3 linked regions of the Rattus norvegicus genome follow. The main gene of each other region encodes a partner of the protein of the gene in region 2 in a complex. Links are inferred from orthologs where the notes say so. Each region holds a gene or a part of one and is shown on either strand. Other genes may lie near its edges.

Evidence for each region.
Region 1: the proteins of Wdr48 (region 2) and Wdr20 are in contact, whole or in part, in a crystal structure (PDB 5K1C), measured with the Homo sapiens proteins. The link is inferred for Rattus norvegicus from reciprocal best matches to the Homo sapiens genes WDR48 and WDR20. Residues at the interface, in NP_065890.1 of Homo sapiens: Val191, Lys207, Gly208, Gly240, Gln241, Gln242, Arg243, Cys244, Ile245; in NP_653175.2 of Homo sapiens: Arg20, Ser364, Thr384, Glu385, Asp386, Glu524, Pro525, Leu526.
Region 3: the proteins of Wdr48 (region 2) and Usp46 are in contact, whole or in part, in a crystal structure (PDB 6JLQ), measured with the Homo sapiens proteins. The link is inferred for Rattus norvegicus from reciprocal best matches to the Homo sapiens genes WDR48 and USP46. Residues at the interface, in NP_065890.1 of Homo sapiens: Arg50, Trp77, Asp118, Tyr119, Lys121, Leu137, Arg139, Ser170, Tyr172, Thr188, Asp211, Asn212, Lys214, Ser230, Gly254, Trp256, Arg272, Ile364, Leu424, Lys425, Gly521; in NP_073743.2 of Homo sapiens: Arg181, Leu183, Asn184, Cys185, Glu186, Thr187, Cys222, Ser223, Glu224, Lys226, Cys232, Cys233, Ser234, Lys235, Gln236, Glu237, Gln239.

Annotation. Positions count from the first base shown.
Region 1 is NC_086024.1:135,571,137-135,577,522, reverse strand, and holds the start of Wdr20 (WD repeat-containing protein 20), read right to left. Parts: upstream 4,278-6,386; 5' UTR 4,148-4,277; coding exon 3,899-4,147; intron 1-3,898. UniProt on the Homo sapiens protein: Regulator of deubiquitinating complexes. Activates deubiquitinating activity of complexes containing USP12. Anchors at the base of the ubiquitin-contacting loop of USP12 and remotely modulates the catalytic center of the enzyme.
Region 2 is NC_086026.1:128,522,899-128,528,668, reverse strand, and holds part of Wdr48 (WD repeat-containing protein 48), read right to left. Parts: coding exon 5,699-5,770; intron 5,417-5,698; coding exon 5,320-5,416; intron 3,858-5,319; coding exon 3,762-3,857; intron 2,795-3,761; coding exon 2,689-2,794; intron 1,822-2,688; coding exon 1,734-1,821; intron 1-1,733. UniProt on the Homo sapiens protein: Regulator of deubiquitinating complexes, which acts as a strong activator of USP1, USP12 and USP46. Enhances the USP1-mediated deubiquitination of FANCD2; USP1 being almost inactive by itself.
Region 3 is NC_086032.1:34,501,474-34,507,836, reverse strand, and holds the start of Usp46 (ubiquitin carboxyl-terminal hydrolase 46), read right to left. Parts: upstream 3,688-6,363; 5' UTR 3,612-3,687; coding exon 3,576-3,611; intron 1,247-3,575; exon of another isoform or gene 1,082-1,246; coding exon of another isoform or gene 1,067-1,081; intron 1-1,066. UniProt on the Homo sapiens protein: Deubiquitinating enzyme that plays a role in behavior, possibly by regulating GABA action. May act by mediating the deubiquitination of GAD1/GAD67.

The sequences.
Region 1 (6,386 bases), on a different chromosome or scaffold from region 2:
ATAGGTTGGGGGGAGGGGGGGGGACAAGGCAACAGACTGCTAGTTCAGTGGTAGTGTTTGCTCAGTATGCTTTAAAGGCCCTGGGTTCAATTCTCAGCAGTATCAAACAAAAACAAACAATACTACTCACTTTACCCAAGTGGCATCCACATTAGGGCTTCTAGGTGATCCCAATAATTGTAAATCTTCATATGCCTTGGGCTGGGGGTTATGACTCAGTGGAAGAGTGCTTACTTAACATGTATTATTTGGCCCTTGGGTTTTATTCCCTGAACATGCATACATGCACATACATGCACAACATATTCCTTGAAGAAAAAATAGAACACAAAAATATATCAAAATAGCCAACTGTGAAAAATGTAAAAGACCTACTTGCTACTTACCCCTGAAAGTAAATTCTGGTTCCCTAGAACAAGGGCTAAAGATGCCTATTGTGTTTGTTTGCTTTATTGAAACAAATTCTCAACCCTCCCAAGCCAGCATACAGGGCAAGTTATTAGCTCTATTTTAAAATCAGAAATTAGAACCACAAAAGTTACTATTATTAGGCCTTCCTGGTGACACACACCTAAAATCCTAGAAATTGAAAGGGTCAGTCAAGGAGAATCAGGAGCTTAAAATCAACCTCTGCTTTGCCCAGTTTAAGGCCAGCCCGGTCTATATGAGACCTTATCAAATAAAAAGTCACATATTCAGAACGACAGCAGATACAAACTCACTCATAGAAAGAAAAACTTTAACTCACTAGCTAGAGGAATTTAAATATCTGCCACAATACAAATATATCCTACAACATACATAGCATTTTACACACACACATCTCCCAAAGTTCAAAGCACTCAAAATCAGCAGGGAAAGGCAATTTATATGCATTTCTGACTTGGTTTTGGGGGGGTGGATGGGAGCTTTTTGGTTTTGTTTTGGAGACAGGCTTCTCTGTGTAGTCCTGGCAGTCCTGGAACTCACTCTGTAGACCAGGCTGGCCTCAAGATCCACCTGCCTCTGAGCCCAAATGCTGGAATTAATTAAGCAAGCCACCACCACCACCTGGCAGCATTTCAGACTTCTTTTAAAGAATGTTTGGTGTAGTTTTTAAAACTCTTTGTTTGTTTGGTTCTTTTTTTTTTTTTTTTCAGAGCTGGGGACCGAACCCAGGGCCTTGCGCTTCCTAGGCAAGCGCTCTACCACTGAGCTAAATCCCCAACCCCTGTTTTTAAAACTCTTAAAACACCATTATAGGGGCTGGGGATTTAGCTCAGTGGTAGAGCGCTTACCTAGGAAGCGCAAGGCCCTGGGTTCGGTCCCCAGCTCCGAAAAAAAAGAACCAAAAAAAAAAAAAAAAAAAAAAAAAAAAAAACCATTATAAAGATACTTCTAAGCACCTTTTTTTGTATGCAAACCAGAGCTACTAGATCCAGATGAAGTGTGTCATGAGAATGATACAAAATTGCCTGGGCTCCCTGGCCACAATGGGGGGGGGGGGGGCAAGAAACAAAAATGGGGGATAGGAAGTGATGACTGAACTAGTAATAGTAATCACTAGGAGTAAATTTAACTTTTTAAAGTTTATTATTTATTTATTTATACACATATATGTGAATGCCACATGTACGCAGGTACCCAAAGAGGTTTGAAGAGGGCTGTAACTACAGGTGTCTGTGAGCTGCCTGAAGTAAGAGATGGGATCTAGGTTCAGAAGAACACCAGGTACTCTTTAACTACTGAGCCCTCTTCCAGGCCCCACAAATTTAACTTCTAAGCACATTGTATTTTTACATCATCACTATTTTTGTCTTTTTGGTTTTAGATTGAGGGAGTTGTTTTTTGAAACAGGTTCTTACTATGTAGTCCTAGCTGGCCTGAAACTCTATGTAGGGCAGGCTGGTCTTGAACTCAGAGATCCACCTGTCAAGATGCATGCTACCACACCCACCTGGTTTTGGATTTTTTTTTTCTTGAGAGAGGGCCCCACCATATAGCCCGTGCTTGCCTCAGATGTGCTAACTGTAGCACAGGTTGGCCCTGAACTTGCCAACTATAGTCCTGGCTAGCCACAATTTGAGTGCTAGGATTGCGGTATACACAACCATGGTAGGGTCTAATTATACTTTTCTAAGATTTCTTTTATTTTTAAACTTATTGTGTGAGCTGTAAGTGGGTACCCAGAACCCAGAAAAGGACATGCGATTCCCCGGAGCTTGAGTTTCAGGCAGTTGTGAGCAGCCTGACATGGGTGCTGGGAACTGAACTGGAGTCCTCTGCAAGAGCAGCACAAGTCAATAACCACTGAGCCTTTGCTCCAGCCCCTAAAGGTAGGTGTTGGTAACATTTATTTCCAGAGAAAAGTCTGCTGTTTCAGACAGAGCAGGCATGTTGAGATGGCAGCTGCTCCCTAAGCTTGCTTTAACTGTAATTTACATCTCCTGAGTGTGTCAGGACTCTAATGCCATTACTGCCATTACTGCCATTACGAATTACAACATGTGCACTGCAGCCCTCCCTTTTTAAAGAGGCGCAAAGTAAAGTTTCCCACATATCCAAGGTCACCAATGAGTCAGTAACAGAGTTGGGAGCAGCACTAAAACTTCAGTTCCTACACTTCAAACCACTGGATACTTTCCTAATCCCAAGAGAGAGAGAGAAAGAGGAGTCAGCCAGCTATTTTCAAACACTTGGTTAGTACACTGACAAGAATAAAGACAAGTCAGAAGATCACCTTGGGCCAAAGAAACAAGCTACGTTTGCATACCATACCATTGTCCCTTTCCTTGTCCTCCTAACCTACACAGTACAGCGTAAAAAAAGCAGCTGATCTATTCATCCCTGGGAACATGTCCTCTTCAATATGGACAACTCACTTCCCCACTATCTCAACATTTATAAGTGAATCTTCCATCACCTTGTCACCTTCTGTCGGAAGTGCTATGGAGTGCGTTCATTTCCTCACTCTCTCAATGGTCAAAAGTTAAAATAAGCAGTTCTTGGAACATAGTTATATTGCCAATGACAAAAAAAAAAGCGCCAATAAATTGCTTTTAACGAGATATTTTAAAACTCGATGGCATGCGTCACAGAATTACTGTTAAGTTCTTGGCTGGTTACTTAAAGTAGCATTTAAGGCCTATCCCTCCCTGTTTGGGACATAGCCTGACTTGTTAGACAAGATAAATCTAGGCACGCTCACACAGAACACCTCTGAAGCAACTTAGCTTATTGAAAACATTATTTCAACCTCCCTAGTCTGAGTACTCAGCCCTATTATACTACAAGGGACAGAATGACCCTCTTCAAAAATCTTTCGGGAGAAGGTTCCTTCCGCGGAGACAATGACAGCCTTCCTCCCGGGAAGGTTTTTGGAAACAGTGCTGACACCAGGAGAAGTGTCAGTGCGGCAGCAGGTGGAGTAGCCCTGCGTGCCGAGCAGGTCCTTTCTGACCTAGTCTCCAAGTCCTCCGCCTCCCTGTCCCGGTTCCGCCTTACGGACCTTTCCAAGCCTCCTCGCGTCCCGGTTCTCTCACCCAGGGCAGGACTCTCGAGCCTCCCGGGAAGCGAGGCCACCTAAGACGGCCGCCGTATCTCTTCCGGGGACTCGCAGGCCCGCTCCCTGTCGGTATCGGAACCTGACGGACCCCTCCGGGGAGAGGCGACCGGCTACTCCCGGGGCATCCCCGCGACCCGGTTCCAGAGCCCCCTCCCCTTCGAGGCAGCGCTGCCGCCGGCGCCTCACTCCTAAACACCCTCTCCTCCACTCAGAGTACCTCAACGGAGTTACCGGCCCACTCAAAAGTACAAGTGCCGGCCGCCCCCACCGGTCACCCCGGCCTCGCTGTCACCGCCCAGCTCCCGGCCTCGGCCGGCACCGCCGGCGTGCCCCCGGTGACGCCCGGGTCGGTACCTTGCGGACCCCCTTGTAGATATAGAAGTAGAGCTCCCGGCCCACATTGAAGCAGAGGCGGTCGCCGTTGCCAGACTGGTCGTTGAGGTTTACGAAGGAGACGCGGACAGGGTTGGATCCCTGCGAGTTGAAGGGCACCCGGTTGGGCCGGCTGTACTCCGAGTGCGGCAGCAGCTTGTACAGACCTTCCCGGGTGGTGAATTGGGTCTTAATCTCGTTCATCTCCTTCCCTCCTCCCTCCGTCGCCATCTTGGAAAGCAGCGTTCATCCTGCCCTAAGTGCCCGGATCACGCCCACCGCGCAGGCGCCGTCCTCGGCCGCTCGCTCTCCACTCCCCACCCCCTTCTTCGCGGCCCCGCCCATTGGCGAGCCAGCCCCCATGAAGGCGGGCCGAAGCGAAAGGGGCGGGCCAGTTTACAGTCTAAGTGCGCACGCGCGCTCACCTGGCGCGCTCCACCCCGAGGGGCGTGCGCCAAACTCCGCCCCCTGGGTGCCGCCCTCTGAGTGCTGGTGGAAGCGCGCGTGCCGAGCATTGGTGCAGGAACCGGTCTGCACCAAGGTGAATCTCTTTCTGCAGCTTCGCTGAGAGACCCTTTCCCTAAGGGAGGGCCCCGCCTTGACCTCGGCCGGCTGCTGGTCCCGGCGAAGCCTGAGGCGAGCAGTGAAGTCCGGTGTTTGGACCTGTGCGTCCCAGCTGTACGCGATCCTCCCTTGGAAGCTGAGGAGGACTCAGACAGTCCGGTTGGGTGCTGGGTGCTAAGACGCTCTACGCTTCCCAAAAACAGTCTCACAGAAGATATCGAAGGATTGAGCTTTATTACCCCTCACGGTTTTGTTTTGTTTTGTTTTGAAGGCGGGGTGGGAAGAACAGCTTAAATGTGTTTCCAAGTCTCATCTGAAACCTCACGTGAGCGTTGGCTTGTTCTTGAGAAAGTAGGTTGTGTTAGAACTTAAGTCTCCTTTGCCGCTTAAGAAAGGTAGAGCTAGCTGACTTTTCTAAAGCCTCAAACGGAACCTGAAATTATTTGCTAGGAGAACCATATCGTTGTAACGAATGTTCTGTACAAAGTCTATTTAGACTATTTAGACTTTAGAAAGGACAAGCATACTCTCATTAAAGTAGAACTAAACAGTCAGCATTTGATGCATCGATTTCTAGGTATGTGCACTGGAATACGAAGGCTTCTAAAGTAATAAACGTTACAATAGAATTCTAGAATAGGGAAAAATGATAGACGAAGAATGAACTATCCCTGAGAAGTCATGTCTGTAGAGCGGAAAATAAGTGGAGCGAGCCCAGTGGGGGGCACCTGTGCTTCCAGACAGAAGTGCCTGAGCCCAGAGAGGGTGGGAGGCGGCTACCTGAGCCCACAGAGCAACACTCCAACCTCACAAAAATTAATTTGTACACAAGAGAGGAGTGTTCTAAAGGAGGTAAATCATAACCATTTTATGTAGTGGGAAGCAAGTACATAAACAGTAGAAACTGTGCCAATGATGTAATAATGCATTTGACACTTACATCCTATAGCTTTCATACATGCCAGCAAAAACAAAATAGCACTACCACAATTTTTTTTTTTGAGACAGTATTTCACTAAATAGCCCTGGCTGTCCTGGAACTCAATAGGAGACCAAATCCACCTGCCTCTGACTCCAAGTTAAAGATATGAACCACACACCCTGTTTAAAATGCTTTTGGGGCTGGGGTTGTTTGTTTTTTTGTTTTTGTTTTTAAGGCAGGGTTTCTTTGTGTACCCCTGGCTCTCTGGAGACTATCTGTAGATCAGGTGGTCCTCAAACTCTCAGAGATCTGCCTGCCTCTGCCTCTTGAGTTCTGGGATCAAAATTGTGTGCCACCACCGCCCTGCTTTAAATACATCTGCTTAATACATCCCCAGATTGCACTTTACATTTCATTTTGTTATTTGCCTTTTCCTAAAATACAAATATGGATCAGAACTCTTAAAAATACTAGGATATGTTCAGTGGAAAACCCCAATCTCCTATAGCTACGTTATTTTGTACAAACGTGTTTATAATGGTCATATTGAGGGCTAAGTAACAGCTCGAATTATCTAAAAAAATTTCAATTTGGATTTTTTTTTTTCGGAGCTGGGGACCGAACTCAGGGCCTTGCGCGCTTGCTAGGCAAGCGCTCTACCACTGAGCTAAATCCCCAACCCCCCCTTTTTTTTTTAAGATTTATTTATGGGGGTTGGGGATTTAGCTCAGTGGTAGAGCGCTTGTCTAGCAAATGCAAGGCCCTGGGTTCGGTCCCCAGCTCTGAAAAAAAGAAAAAAAAAGATTTATTTATGTATGTGAGTATACTGTTTCAGACACACCAGAAGGGGACATCATATCCCATTACAGATATTTGTGAGCCACCATGTGGTTGCTAGGAATTGGACTCAGGACCTCTAGAAGAGCAATCAGTGCTCTTAACCACTGAGCCATCCCTTCAGCCCTTAGATTAGATTTCTAGTTA
Region 2 (5,770 bases):
ATGACTAATGGCCCCAACAGAAGTTTAAGTGTTTTGAGAAAGCCCCAGAACATTCACTTCTGAGCAGACACTTGGGTACTGGTGGGCCCATCATCCAGTGGAGAGGCCACCGGCCTTCTGCCATCTGTCTCATCCTCTGATAGGGGGAGTCTACCCTGAAAACATTACCCATTCTCAACTGATGGCTGAAATGGTCCAGCCAGCTTTTCTTGGAGCATAGCCCAAGTTATTGGGTCACTCACTAATGCACCAGATGAGTTCTACACTCAAAAGAAGCAGTGGATTATGGGAGTCTGCACAGGAAGACCACAGGAAGACCAACAAGTGTCAGTCACACTAGTTCTAAGTTCTTGGAGTGTATCTGGAGTAGAAAACACATTTTCTAAAGTTTCAGGAAATTAAGTCCTTTTTCTATGGCTTTAGGAGTATACGAACAGTCAAGAAAGTCCTGTCTGCAGGAATGCACTATACAGACAGTGTAGAATTCAAATAGTAGACAGGACAGACCCCTACAGACTACACTGGTACACAGCTTAGTTCTCTGGGAAAAGTTAAAATGTCACCTCACAGCCAACAGAAGACTGAATAACAGTAACGAGGCGGACAGTAAACAACAAGGTGCAGAGCGTAGTGAGGACACTCTGAATTGGGAGATATCCAATAAAACATGGAACCAGAGCTACAAAACCTCAATCTGATTATACAAAAGTTAAGGTTTCCCCTGGGAGAAAACCTTGAACAAAGTAAATGTTTAATGAAGGCAGAGAGGAGTCAGGTTAATTGGCAACAGAAGATCACCTGTGAGTGAGTGAGTGAGTGAGTGAGTGAGTGAGTGAGTGAGTGAGTGAGTGAGACGATGACCCAGTTGGAGAAGTGGCAAAGGACACAGACAGGCAGGTCACAGAGAGAAACGGTCAGTGTGAAAAGACTCCTGACCTCACCACGAATAAGGACACATCCACACTGAAACACCGCACAGTATTTGATGACGGCTCAGCAAAGGGCAAGTGTCTGGTGTCGGTGTGGCTGTGACAATCAGGTGTCCATACACTGTCGGTGCAGAGCACACTGCCTTTGTGAAAGGGCAATTCGCATATCTATCCAGATTTAAAATGTCAGACCCTTTGATCCAGCAATTTCACTGTAAGAATTTACCCTAAAATACACAGAGACACATGTACAAAGACGTTCAGGAAGCACTGTTTGCAAATGCAAACAATGCAAACTACCTGGGCCCATTAAGAAGGGGCTGATCATTTACACAACAGAATAAGGTGCAGTCCTTAAAAGGGAACAGTCCCTGAGCACAGGTCTGAACAGATGTCCAAGACATATTTTTAAGTAAAAAAAAAAAAGAAGTTGCAGAACACTGTAAGAGATTTTGTGCAAAATTAAATGAACTCCACACTTATATCTGCACACAATAGTAAGTGCTCGTGTAGGTGACTTCCTACTGGGTTCCCCCTCTGAGAAGAGGGCTGGGAAGGGTGAAGAGGGTGGGTGGGAAGAGGTGGGCACTGATTACGTTGTAGAATAAGCATACATTATTGTTCTGACTGAAACCAGACAAAGATAAAAGTTGATATGTAAATAACTATCAGATGTGTCTACAACTTTGGAACTTCAGGAACGCAGAGAGGATTCTACTTAGCCGGTGACTTTTGTCACAGTTTAAGACTTAATGTCATGGTCCAGGGAAAGCAAAGGGCAAAGCGGGAGTGAAGGATACTTACATCCACAGTGATGTCGATCACCCATTGTGGCACGGTCTCATTGAGAAGCATTGCCTCGGTCTCGCCCCCGGAGTCCCGGCAGAGCAGCCTAGACACAATCCATCAGGTGGTCAGTGTCATGACAAGCAGGGGGACAGCAGAGGAGCCCTCACAGCGCTCATTGAGGACAGCAGAGGTGATGGGGGAGTAGGGAGACTTGGGCCCGATCAAGCCGCTTCTGAGTCCTGGGTCACTACAAGAAACACTCAGCCAAGGGCCTAGCCAGGGCCAGGCATGGCCCAGACTTCAGCTGCAGTGAGGGCTGCAGTTTGGTTACCTTGCTCCGAAGATCACAACAGAAGAAAGTCTGTGCTCAGGGGAAAGGCAGGCATCACCCTCACTTCCCACACCCAGTGATGCTGCAACACTTCCCTGCTCCTTCAGGGCTTGCCTGAAGCCTCCCCTTCCCTGGAGGGCCAGAGAGCATCTCCCTCACCCCAGGCTGAACCAGTATAGATCACAACAGTTTGCAGGATCAGCCTCACCCTCTTGCCTGGCCCAGTCTCCCATGACCAGGGACTGCTCTGACGCCATTTGATTCCTGCCTCTGGCAGTTAGCCACACTGGCAAAGTAAGAGAGGCAGGCATCTGGGATGGGGCAGGGTATCTGTGTGGGTGCGCACGTGTGTGTGCGTGTGAATCTCACCTTGGCCCTTCGTTATTAACATTCACTGCACCAGGCATTAAGTATCTCAAGGAGATGACATGTCTGTCTGGGCAGCATTTTTTATTTATTTATTTATTTTTTTGGTTCTTTTTTTCGGAGCTGGGGACCAAACCCAGGGCCTTGTGCTTCCTAGGCAAGCGCTCTACCACTGAGCTAAATCCCCAACCCCCTGGGCAGCATTTCTATCAAGAGGGTTGGCTTATTAAGCAAGGCCTTTCTAGGCAGGGTTCTAGTCTTTCTTATCCATACCTGAAAAGTGTGCGACCTCCAGCTTCTCCAAAGATCACGGGGGTGTGGGGGGGCACCTGGAAATAGCCATTTCCTTTCTGGACTCGGCTCTCCTGTTCCCCACTCACTGGAAAGATAGGCAGGCTGTTAATGTTGGGACCAAAGCTTCTGAATACTGACCACAAAGGCTGTAAACATTCCAACATTTTAAAAATAAAAAATCCTGGGGCTGGAGTGATGGTTCAGCGGTTAGAGCACTGGCTGCTCTTCTAGAGGACCAAGGTTTAGTTCCCAGTACTACAAAGTGGCTTACAACCATCTCTAACCCTAGTTCCAGGGTATTCAACACCCTTTCTAGCCTCCATGGGCACTAGGCCCATAAGTGTTGCCCTTATATACACGCAGGAAAACTGATATACATCAAATAAAAATGAACAAATCTAAAGAAACATTTAAATCAAAACCCTGCTCCTTGGTCAGCATTAGAAAGCTGGGTGGAGGAAGCTGGAACGGAGGACTGAGGGCTCTTCAGAGGACCCGAGTTCAGTCCAGGAGATCTGGTGCCCCTGTCTGGCTTTCACATGCACCCCACTTAACTGGCATAAACATAAAATGTTTTAATATTAAAAAATAATAAAGGTTTAGAACAAGTAAGAATGGTATTTAATATGTAAGAGCAGAGAATCTCATCAGAAGTCCAGTACCTGCTCACAGTGAGACACAGCCCCCAAAGGAGCCCCCAGGAGGGCTTTAATACAAGAAATAAATGTAGTTGACCCAGTGCCTGAGCTGACACACAGCCCCTCCCAGTCCTCAGCTCCCTGAACCTGAGCACAATGGCGCCACCTAGCACTTGGGAGGATCTATGACCACCCATAAACCGGTGATTTTTGAATATCACACATGGGGCTTCTTCTATCTGAGAGCCACATCCCAAAGTGGCCTCATCCTTTGCAATACTGGATACTCTCATTCAGATGTAGGAAAGAACAATTAACTGGGCACACCACAGCTGTGTCAGACTTCTGTACACTACAGTAAGTACCCCTTGGCCCACACAACTGTCACTTTTCTGAACAAACAGACACACTAACCATGGTTCACTTCATTCTCCTCCTCGTCCATGGGAGTCACATGTGTTCTGGGCCAGTACTCCAGGAGGGCCTGTAGTAGAAGTCCTCCTAAGTTCACTGTGGGTGAGAGGAGAAACGGAGACAGTTTGTTAGCTCCAACCTAAGACAGAAGCTGTCAATGTTCTCATGCTGCATCTGTTTTCTTGAGAAGCAAAATTATCCAGCAGGGCAGGGTACAAACAGGGCAGTTATGGACACTTGAAGGCAGAGGTGTGGGCTGGAGAGATGGCTCAGGGTTAAGAGCACCGGCTGCTCTTCCAGAGGTCCTGAGTCCAAATCCCAGCAACCACATGGTGGCTCACAACCATCTGTAATAAGATCTAATGCCCTCTTCTGGTGTGTCTGAAGACAGCTACAGTGTACTCATATATAATAAATAAATCTTTAAAAAAAAAAAAAAAGGCAGAGGTGCTTTTCAGGATGGGGATTATGTGTGAGCACCTTACAGAAGTTATATACACAGGTTTGGTGGCTTTTGAATCGGCACTTTCCAAACTGTTACGACTTTCTTTTTTCTTTGTGATTCAGCCTGGTCTTTGATTCATCTTCTTTCTTCCTACTCCCAAGTACAGGGATTAGAGGCATGTGCTACCACGCTGGGGTACACATGCTGTGGTGATTTGAATAGGAATCCCCCCACCATGTATTTGAACACCGGCCAATAGTGTGGCACTAGTAGGAGGTGTGGCTTGTTAGAAGAAGTACATCACTGTAGAGGTAGGCTCTGACACTTCCTATGCAAAAGCTACACCCAGTGTGACACACACGGTCTCTCCTTGCTGCCTGTGGATGAAGATGTAGAACTCTCCATTCCTCTAGTACTGTGCCTGCCTGCACGCTGGCATCATTCCTGATACGATAATGGACGAAACCTCTGAAACTGTAAGTCTGACCCAATTGTAAGAGCTGACGTGGTCTCTTCACCTCAATGAAACCCTAACTAACACACATCCATAGGCTTCAACCCCAAGACCAGAGACAAGCAGGTCTCAGTGCTTAATCTCAGAATCGAAGTTGCAGAGAAAACACTACCCTGCTGTTCAGCGGTCACCCTTCTCTGTTCTTTTTGTGGAGACAGGGGGTTTACATTGCAGCAAGGCTGCCCTGGACCTCAAGGCTCCTAAGGGCTGGGATCAGAGGCCTGAGCCGCCATGTCTGGTTGAAGCTATTCTTTAAACCAAAAACAGTTTGCTATTGACACAGGTACTCTCCCCAAAGCCAGCAACCTTGTATTTGTACGTGTTGGATTGTTACACACCAAGTTCTCAAAAGCGTGCTGAGTGACTTGGGCAGTGGAGATGCACGTCTGTAATCTCAGCACTAGAGGCAGAGGCAGGCGGATCTCTGAGTTCCAGGCCAGCTGGTTTACAGAGTGAGTTCCAGGATAGCTAGGGCTACACAGCTACACAGAGAAACCCTGTCTTGAAGCAAAACAAACAAATGACAGTAAGAGTCACGGTGTGGGGGACGCTTACAAAGATGACCAGCTACCTTCTTCAATCGAAGACACTTAACTCACGTTTTGGGTCTGACCCATCGGGACTGCTGAAGCCAGCATCTTTCGCAGAAACCCAGGCAGCGAAGCAGTCGCTTTCATCCAGAGTAATGGTCAGCATCTGTTGGGGGGAGGGACACACAGTGCTAGCAGCTTGCTCTCCCTCCCTCCTCTCCAGCACCTGACCCGGCAGCATCCATCCATGCACTAGACAAGGCTAAGCCATGTCTCTTGGGATTCAGCTTCAGCTTGCTCTACTCGAGAGTCAGGCTTACATGACAGCATATTAAGACAGACGGGGCAAGCAAATGTCTTAAGGACAGCAAACTCCTTAAGAATAATTAGGGCATGGAGGAAATTTTCAATTATCCAAAATCACATAAATACTGATTGCCTAACTCACCCCTGTTTTTAGGTCTACTGAGAACCAATTTGGAACATACACCATTTTAAATCTTTTCTTAATTTCATCTTC
Region 3 (6,363 bases), on a different chromosome or scaffold from region 2:
CACACACACACACACACACACACACACACACACACACACACACACTGCTGGAGACTCAAGCCTCCCACCGGCTAAGCAAAGCATTCTACCCCTAAATTACATGTTCCACCGCCCCTCACAAAACCTACTACTTCATACAAGCATCCCCCACCCCCAAATACATCTTAACAGCACTATTAACAAATGAAATGAAGAAGAGAATGACTTAGGCAAGTTCACACCAGCACAAGTCACACTTGCTCCTTTTTTTTTTTTTTTTTCACTTTTTGAAAATTCCTCAATTCAAACAGGGAACAAAACAGCACATAAGCACAAGTGATACCTTCCATTTGTAGGATGGTGAAACACAGAGAGTGAGCAGAATACATGGCTCTAAACAACCGAGGATTATCAGCAGGGGACATCTCCTTGGGCCTGGTAGCAGCTGAGGCATTTTCAAAAATTACAACACACCAGCCAAACGAGCTTTTCCATCTCCAACCACACACGGCCATGTGGTCAGATCGACTCACCCCAAGGGAGCTGATAGGGCATTGCTAAGGGAGGGCATTTACAAGAACTAAATGTGAACCAGGTCTAAACTTTCAAAGCACCTCAGTGTGTGTGTGGAGGGGGGGGGGTAAGAAGAAGGAAGGGGGTGTTTAGACCTTACTGAAGGAACGACTTGCTTCCAGGATTATTTAAGCTCTCCTGGGAGCTCCTTCAATAGAGGAAAAGAGACAGTCTCTCAGGGCTAGATCTTGGTCTATCTTGGTTTGTGTTCCCCAAGAAGAGAATACCTTTAAACACTCTTTCGGAACATACACCAGAAGATGTTTAAAATAGACCAAATATCTACTTTTCTAAAGGCAGCCTGGGTATATTGCTCGGTGGGAGAGTACATGAAGCCGGGTTGTGAGCCACCCAGTGTCAAGTAAATAAATATAAGCAAACGACAAGCAAACAAGCGGTCCCAGCCTGTACTCCCCGCTCCTCATACCAGCTGGGGCAAAGGGAGAAAGTTGTAAAGCTCAAGAAAGAGGCTCAGCGAGAAACCCAGTGACAGAGAGACTCGGAAGACACCTACCTGGAAACAGTTCATGCTCAAGTAAGGCTTTATCCCGCTGTGCACAGACAGACAGCAGTCTCCTGAGCACCAGCCTGCTCCTCTGGGAAATGCCAATGGGAGGGGCAGAAGTGACCTGAGCGGCTTTTATAAGGGGCGGGATTTCCAGTTCCCACCCCAGCTCCTCCACAGAGTCATTCAGCTTGCTCTGCCTAAGTGACCCAATGGGTTGTTTATACTCAAGTAGGAGAAGAAGACAAATTCTCACAGCCCCTAAAACAGACTGGAAGGTAAGAGAAAGAAGGTACTGACCACAGCCGCTGCCACTCACTGAGAAGTTATCACGTACCGGGCCCAGAACCCCAGGAACTCCCCCCTGGGTTGCAGCCATTATGGGCCCATTTTTACAAATGAAAGCTGAGGCAAAGACTATCAAAGTGCTCAAGGGCACGAGGCAGCGGTGTTGGAGGTGGGACTTGAAAGCTGGATGGAGCAGAACACCTCTGTCTGTCATCTAGTGCTTACAGGCGATGTCATGCTGGAGGTCTACCTGGGCTAAGGAGCCCCACAAATAAGTACAAAAACAGGAGCGAACCTAGAGTCTCACATTAGAATGCAAACATTTCTCCATTTGCCCAAGACAGTGTCTACACAGAAACATATTAGGTTTACTTCACAATTGGACATGGGGTGGGTGGGTGGGGTGGGTGAGAATTAACTTGGTCACCAGAAGTGTTTATTCTACTGACACAATATTGGCCCATTCCTCTCCTGTCCTCCCAGAAGCCTGTCTCCCTGGCTGAGTGTCACTGAAAACAGGTTGTGACATTCTGTCCAGGTGTGCCAAGAAGTCCTAGCCACAGTAAGGACAAGAACAAGCCGGAGGCAGACTTCCTCTTGGGACAGGCTTGCTCTCCGGTTTCCACTCGGCTTCAATACTGAGAGGTGTCATTGAAAGCAAACCGGACAAGAGCAGAACCAGGAGCAGGCACTGAGCCCCCGGGAGGCTGTAGGCCTGCGGCCACCCCCACAGGCAGGAGATACAGCATTGAAACTACTGTGGTATCCTAGTTCTCCACATGAGCTTGGTTACGGCGGAGACACGGAGAAGAAATGCACTGTCTTCTCAGGGCATCCAGCCACGTTAATGTCACCGGACAGGAAGAAGCAGGAAACCTGTGTCTTCAAGCAGAAAGGGGAGATGGCAAGGTGACAGGCCCCGTCATCTAAGGAGACCTGTACCAAGCCGGCAGTTACCATCACTCTTGGCGACCAGCGCAGAAAGCTGGAGCCAGCCCCAGCAGGTCTCAACTCCACCTGAGCTAACACATGGCTCCTTCATGCTCTGTGCCATGTGTTGATCTTGCAACAGAATGTGGGACAGAAGATTTAAAGAGCTGTGTGATGGGGGAAGGGCAGCCAGATCACCTTACCTAAGGCCTACTTAATCAGACCTCCTCAGATTCCCTTTGTATGCTAGGATGACTATCTAACTTGGTGGCAGGGTGTTCTCCAAAATGGCAAAAACAAACAAACAAAACCCAACAGCCAGCAGTGTTCCAGTTTGGAGGGGCTCGAAGCGGGAGGGAGAGGAGGATCCAGAGAGTACAGGCAGAGCACACACCCTCAAGCCCCACACCAAAGGTAATGCTGACCCCAAACTGACCTCCCTGAGGCTCTCACAAGTGGGGGTGCCAGCTGAGTACGCTCAGGGGACCCAAAGGTTGGAACTGGTCCCTAGGAAACTAAACAGAACGGGAAGGTAGTTGGGGGGGGGGGGGACTCCAAATTAAAGTGACCGCTGGGTAACACTCCCCGCCCCCCCACCCGCCCCCCTCAGACAGGCGAGGCAGTGCCCAAGCTAAATGGAGAGGAGGCGGGGCAGGATGACCCCTGCAGACTTCCTCACACCCACAGTCACCTCACTCCTAGGGCCTGCAAACGTTAACTGCCGCCTTACAATCTCCTGCATGCAGGTGGGGAAACTGAGGCCTCCAGAACAAATTGCTGTGCTTTCCAGGTTTTAGTTCGCTTCTCTAGCCAGATTCTTCACTTGGATTTTTTTATGTCTATCCGATTTCTCCTGGTAAGAACACTGCTATTGCAAAGTGAATCTTAAATACAATCGAGGCTGAACTCCAAAAAGGAGCAGAGGACAGTCCGTGAGTCCAGGAAGGGTTTATTTACTGCACCAGGAGGATCTACTTCCTCCCACTCCAGGCTTGCACCCTCATGGTCCTCCCTCGGGACAGCGGTGTGCGGCACCTCGCACCCTCCACCCCCACCCACCGCCCGCACCACAACTCGAGGGCGGGGGCATGGGGCTGCCCTGGGGATCCCTGGGATCCCTTCAGGGTCCCCGGCTGGGACAGAGGCGGGGGACTGCGGTCAGCTGGCCCAGCCTCAGAGCCGGGAACTTCTGACCGCGCGGCCCCCACGACCGCGGCGCGCGAGCAGCTCCAGCCCGGGGTTCCCTTTCTTTGCCTGGCTCGCTGCGGGCGCGACCCCCGGAGGCTCGGCGGCCACTCACCATATTACAGATGGAGGCGATGTTTCGGACAGTCATTAGTCTAAAGGTTGCAGCGATCGCGCACCGCCATCTTTACCAGGGGAAAACGGGACTGTCCATGGTGGCGCGCAGCGAGGCCGGGTGGCGGCGAGGCGGCCTGGGGCCGGCTTGCAGTGGGGTTGGGCGAGCGAGGCCGGGCGGCGGCGAGGGCGGGGCGGCGGCGCGGGGCGGGGAGTGGCGGAGCGACGCAGCCGGGGCCGCGGCCGGCGGGAGGAGGAGCCCAGAGCCGGGAGGCGCCGAACCGGGCCGCTCCTACGTTCCCGTGTCCGCCAGGACTCGGTCGCCCAACCCGGCTGAAAGCTGTTCTTGCTCCCCTGCCCTGGGGTACCGCTCCGTGCCAGCTGCATCGCTAGGTCAGTCCCCAACGAACCCAGCACCGCGGCCTTCACACTGGACCCAGGACACTGGACCCTGGCCGATCGTAGGCTGGGGACCTACACCAGGGGGACACAGGCATGCTCGTTTCCCGATTTCCCTCTGCCTGTTCCTGGTGGTCTCCAACCAGTCAGGGCTTTTAGAGATTAGCTAGGGGAGCTGATGAGTACGGGTGTAAGGGAGTAAGGGTAACCCTAGTCCAACTTTAAAGTTTCTCTCCAGGGTTCTAGCCAGATGGCATCCACCGGAACCCAAAAAGTAAAATGAGACCAGGACATGGGCGTGGCCAGAGAGCCCTGACCAGCAGTAACCCAGCTGCTTGGGAAAGGGTTCCCAGAAAGGAAAGTATTCCGGGTCTAGGAAAGCCCCACTCGGGAGATTTGTGACATTAGAAGGTACAGAGGAAATGGCCAGGTTCTGGGCGGTGCTAGAGGCTGTCCAGGAAATACCAAAACAAAACTTTTGTATCCTCCATCCAGGGAGCTCCTGATCTCAGTTTTGTGAGATTGGGTGCTGTTTGAGTTTTCACACATTCCCACAGAGGCCAAAACTGCAGGCTCAGGGTGCACATTGTACACCGCTTGAAGGATACATTCATGAGAATTGAAAAGGTCCATTTCAAACATGGGGAATAACTGTGCGTCTGCCGTCCCATGGTTTTTGCAGGGAAGCTGTGCATGTGAAACGTGATAAATTCCTGAACCAATGTATTTTGTGGGAAATTAAATTAGGAGAGAAATTAATATAATTGAAGACATCTTTATGTAGCCAAGAGTAACATACTGGTGGTGGGGAGGAGGGCGCAGAGTTTTATACATAACATGTGAGAGCCATCCATTGGTAATTCTTCTAGGACCTGGGGTGGAAATAGAAGACGAACACTACTGACTGAAGGGGGGAGTCACGTGGATACTGTATTTTTCAGTGTGTAGAAGGATTAATATGTCTGCTCACGATGAGTCATTCTACCAAAATTTTATTTTCATTTTTTTTACTGCTGCCAGTTATAGTTCTTTCAGCTTCTACACAATCTATTAGTTAACAGACAGTTAGCTCCACAAGGCTTACAGAGAGAGCAGGTGTCCAACTCAGCTCTGTGTTACCCACATAGTACAGATAAAGGCTAAACTTAGGTTGGGTACCTTTGGGGGAGGGGAACCATTGATAAAACACCCAAACCATGACTGGCCAGAACAGTAAGGTCCAGAAAAGCTTATAAAGATTACGGAATGTCACAAGCTGAAGGCCTGAGCTTTATGAGTGGTTAAAGTTTTAAATTTCCATGTTTTCGGGGTTGGGGATTTAGCTCAGCAGTAGAGCGCTTGCCTAGCAAGCACAAGGCCCTGGGTTCGATCCCCAGCTCCGAAAAAAAAAATTTCCATGTTTTCTGATGATGAACTCCATGATTTCTTCCAATATGAATACACTGATACAAGGCCTACAGGAGTTAAAACACAAGTGAGAGCTGGGGAGATGTGCCAGTCAATAAAGTGCTTACAGCACAAGCATGGGTTCCGAAGTTCAATCCTTCCCCCAGAGTTCACACCCACAAGTAATGAAACATGGTCACTGTGTGTAACTATCCCGCTGCTAGAGAGGCAGACAGAATCCCTGGGGCTTGTGCTGGCTGGCCAGCCAGACTAGCCAAATCACAAGTTACAGATTCAGGCACAGACCCTCTCTGTCTCAAACAAGAAAAGTGGAAGGGATAGAGAGATGGCTGGATGGTTAAGAGTACGTACTGTGGGCTGGAGAGATGGCTCAGCGGTTAGGAGCACTGACTGCTCTTCCAGAGGTCCTGAGTTCAGTTCCCAGAAACCACATGGTGGCTCACAACCATCTGTAATGGGATCCAATGCCCTCTTCTGGTGTGTCTGAAGACAGCTACAGTGTACTTATATAAATTAAAAAAAAAAAAAAAAAAAAAAAAAAAAGACTGCATACTTCCAGAGGACCTGACTTCAATTCCTATCACCCACGTGGGGTGGCTCACAAACACCTATAACTTTAGCTCCAAGGGATCCATGACACTTGCATCATATGCACATACCCACCCACACACATGCATGCACACACACACACCCTTACACATCCACACAATTAAAAATAAAATAAATCTTTAGACAAAAATTAAGGCAGAGAGGGAGACATCTAACATCAACCTCAGGCTTTGACACACACAATGTACTCACACATGAACATACACATGTTTACACACACAAACACCACTGGCACAGCAAAAAAACAACCAGCACCTGACTCTGGGTGTTGTGCCAACAAGAAAAAGGATTCCTTGCATGCCCTCTAAATACCTAAAACTAAGTAGGCAGTGTGGACAGACAGGTTGAAATCTGAATGTGGTATGGTATAATCC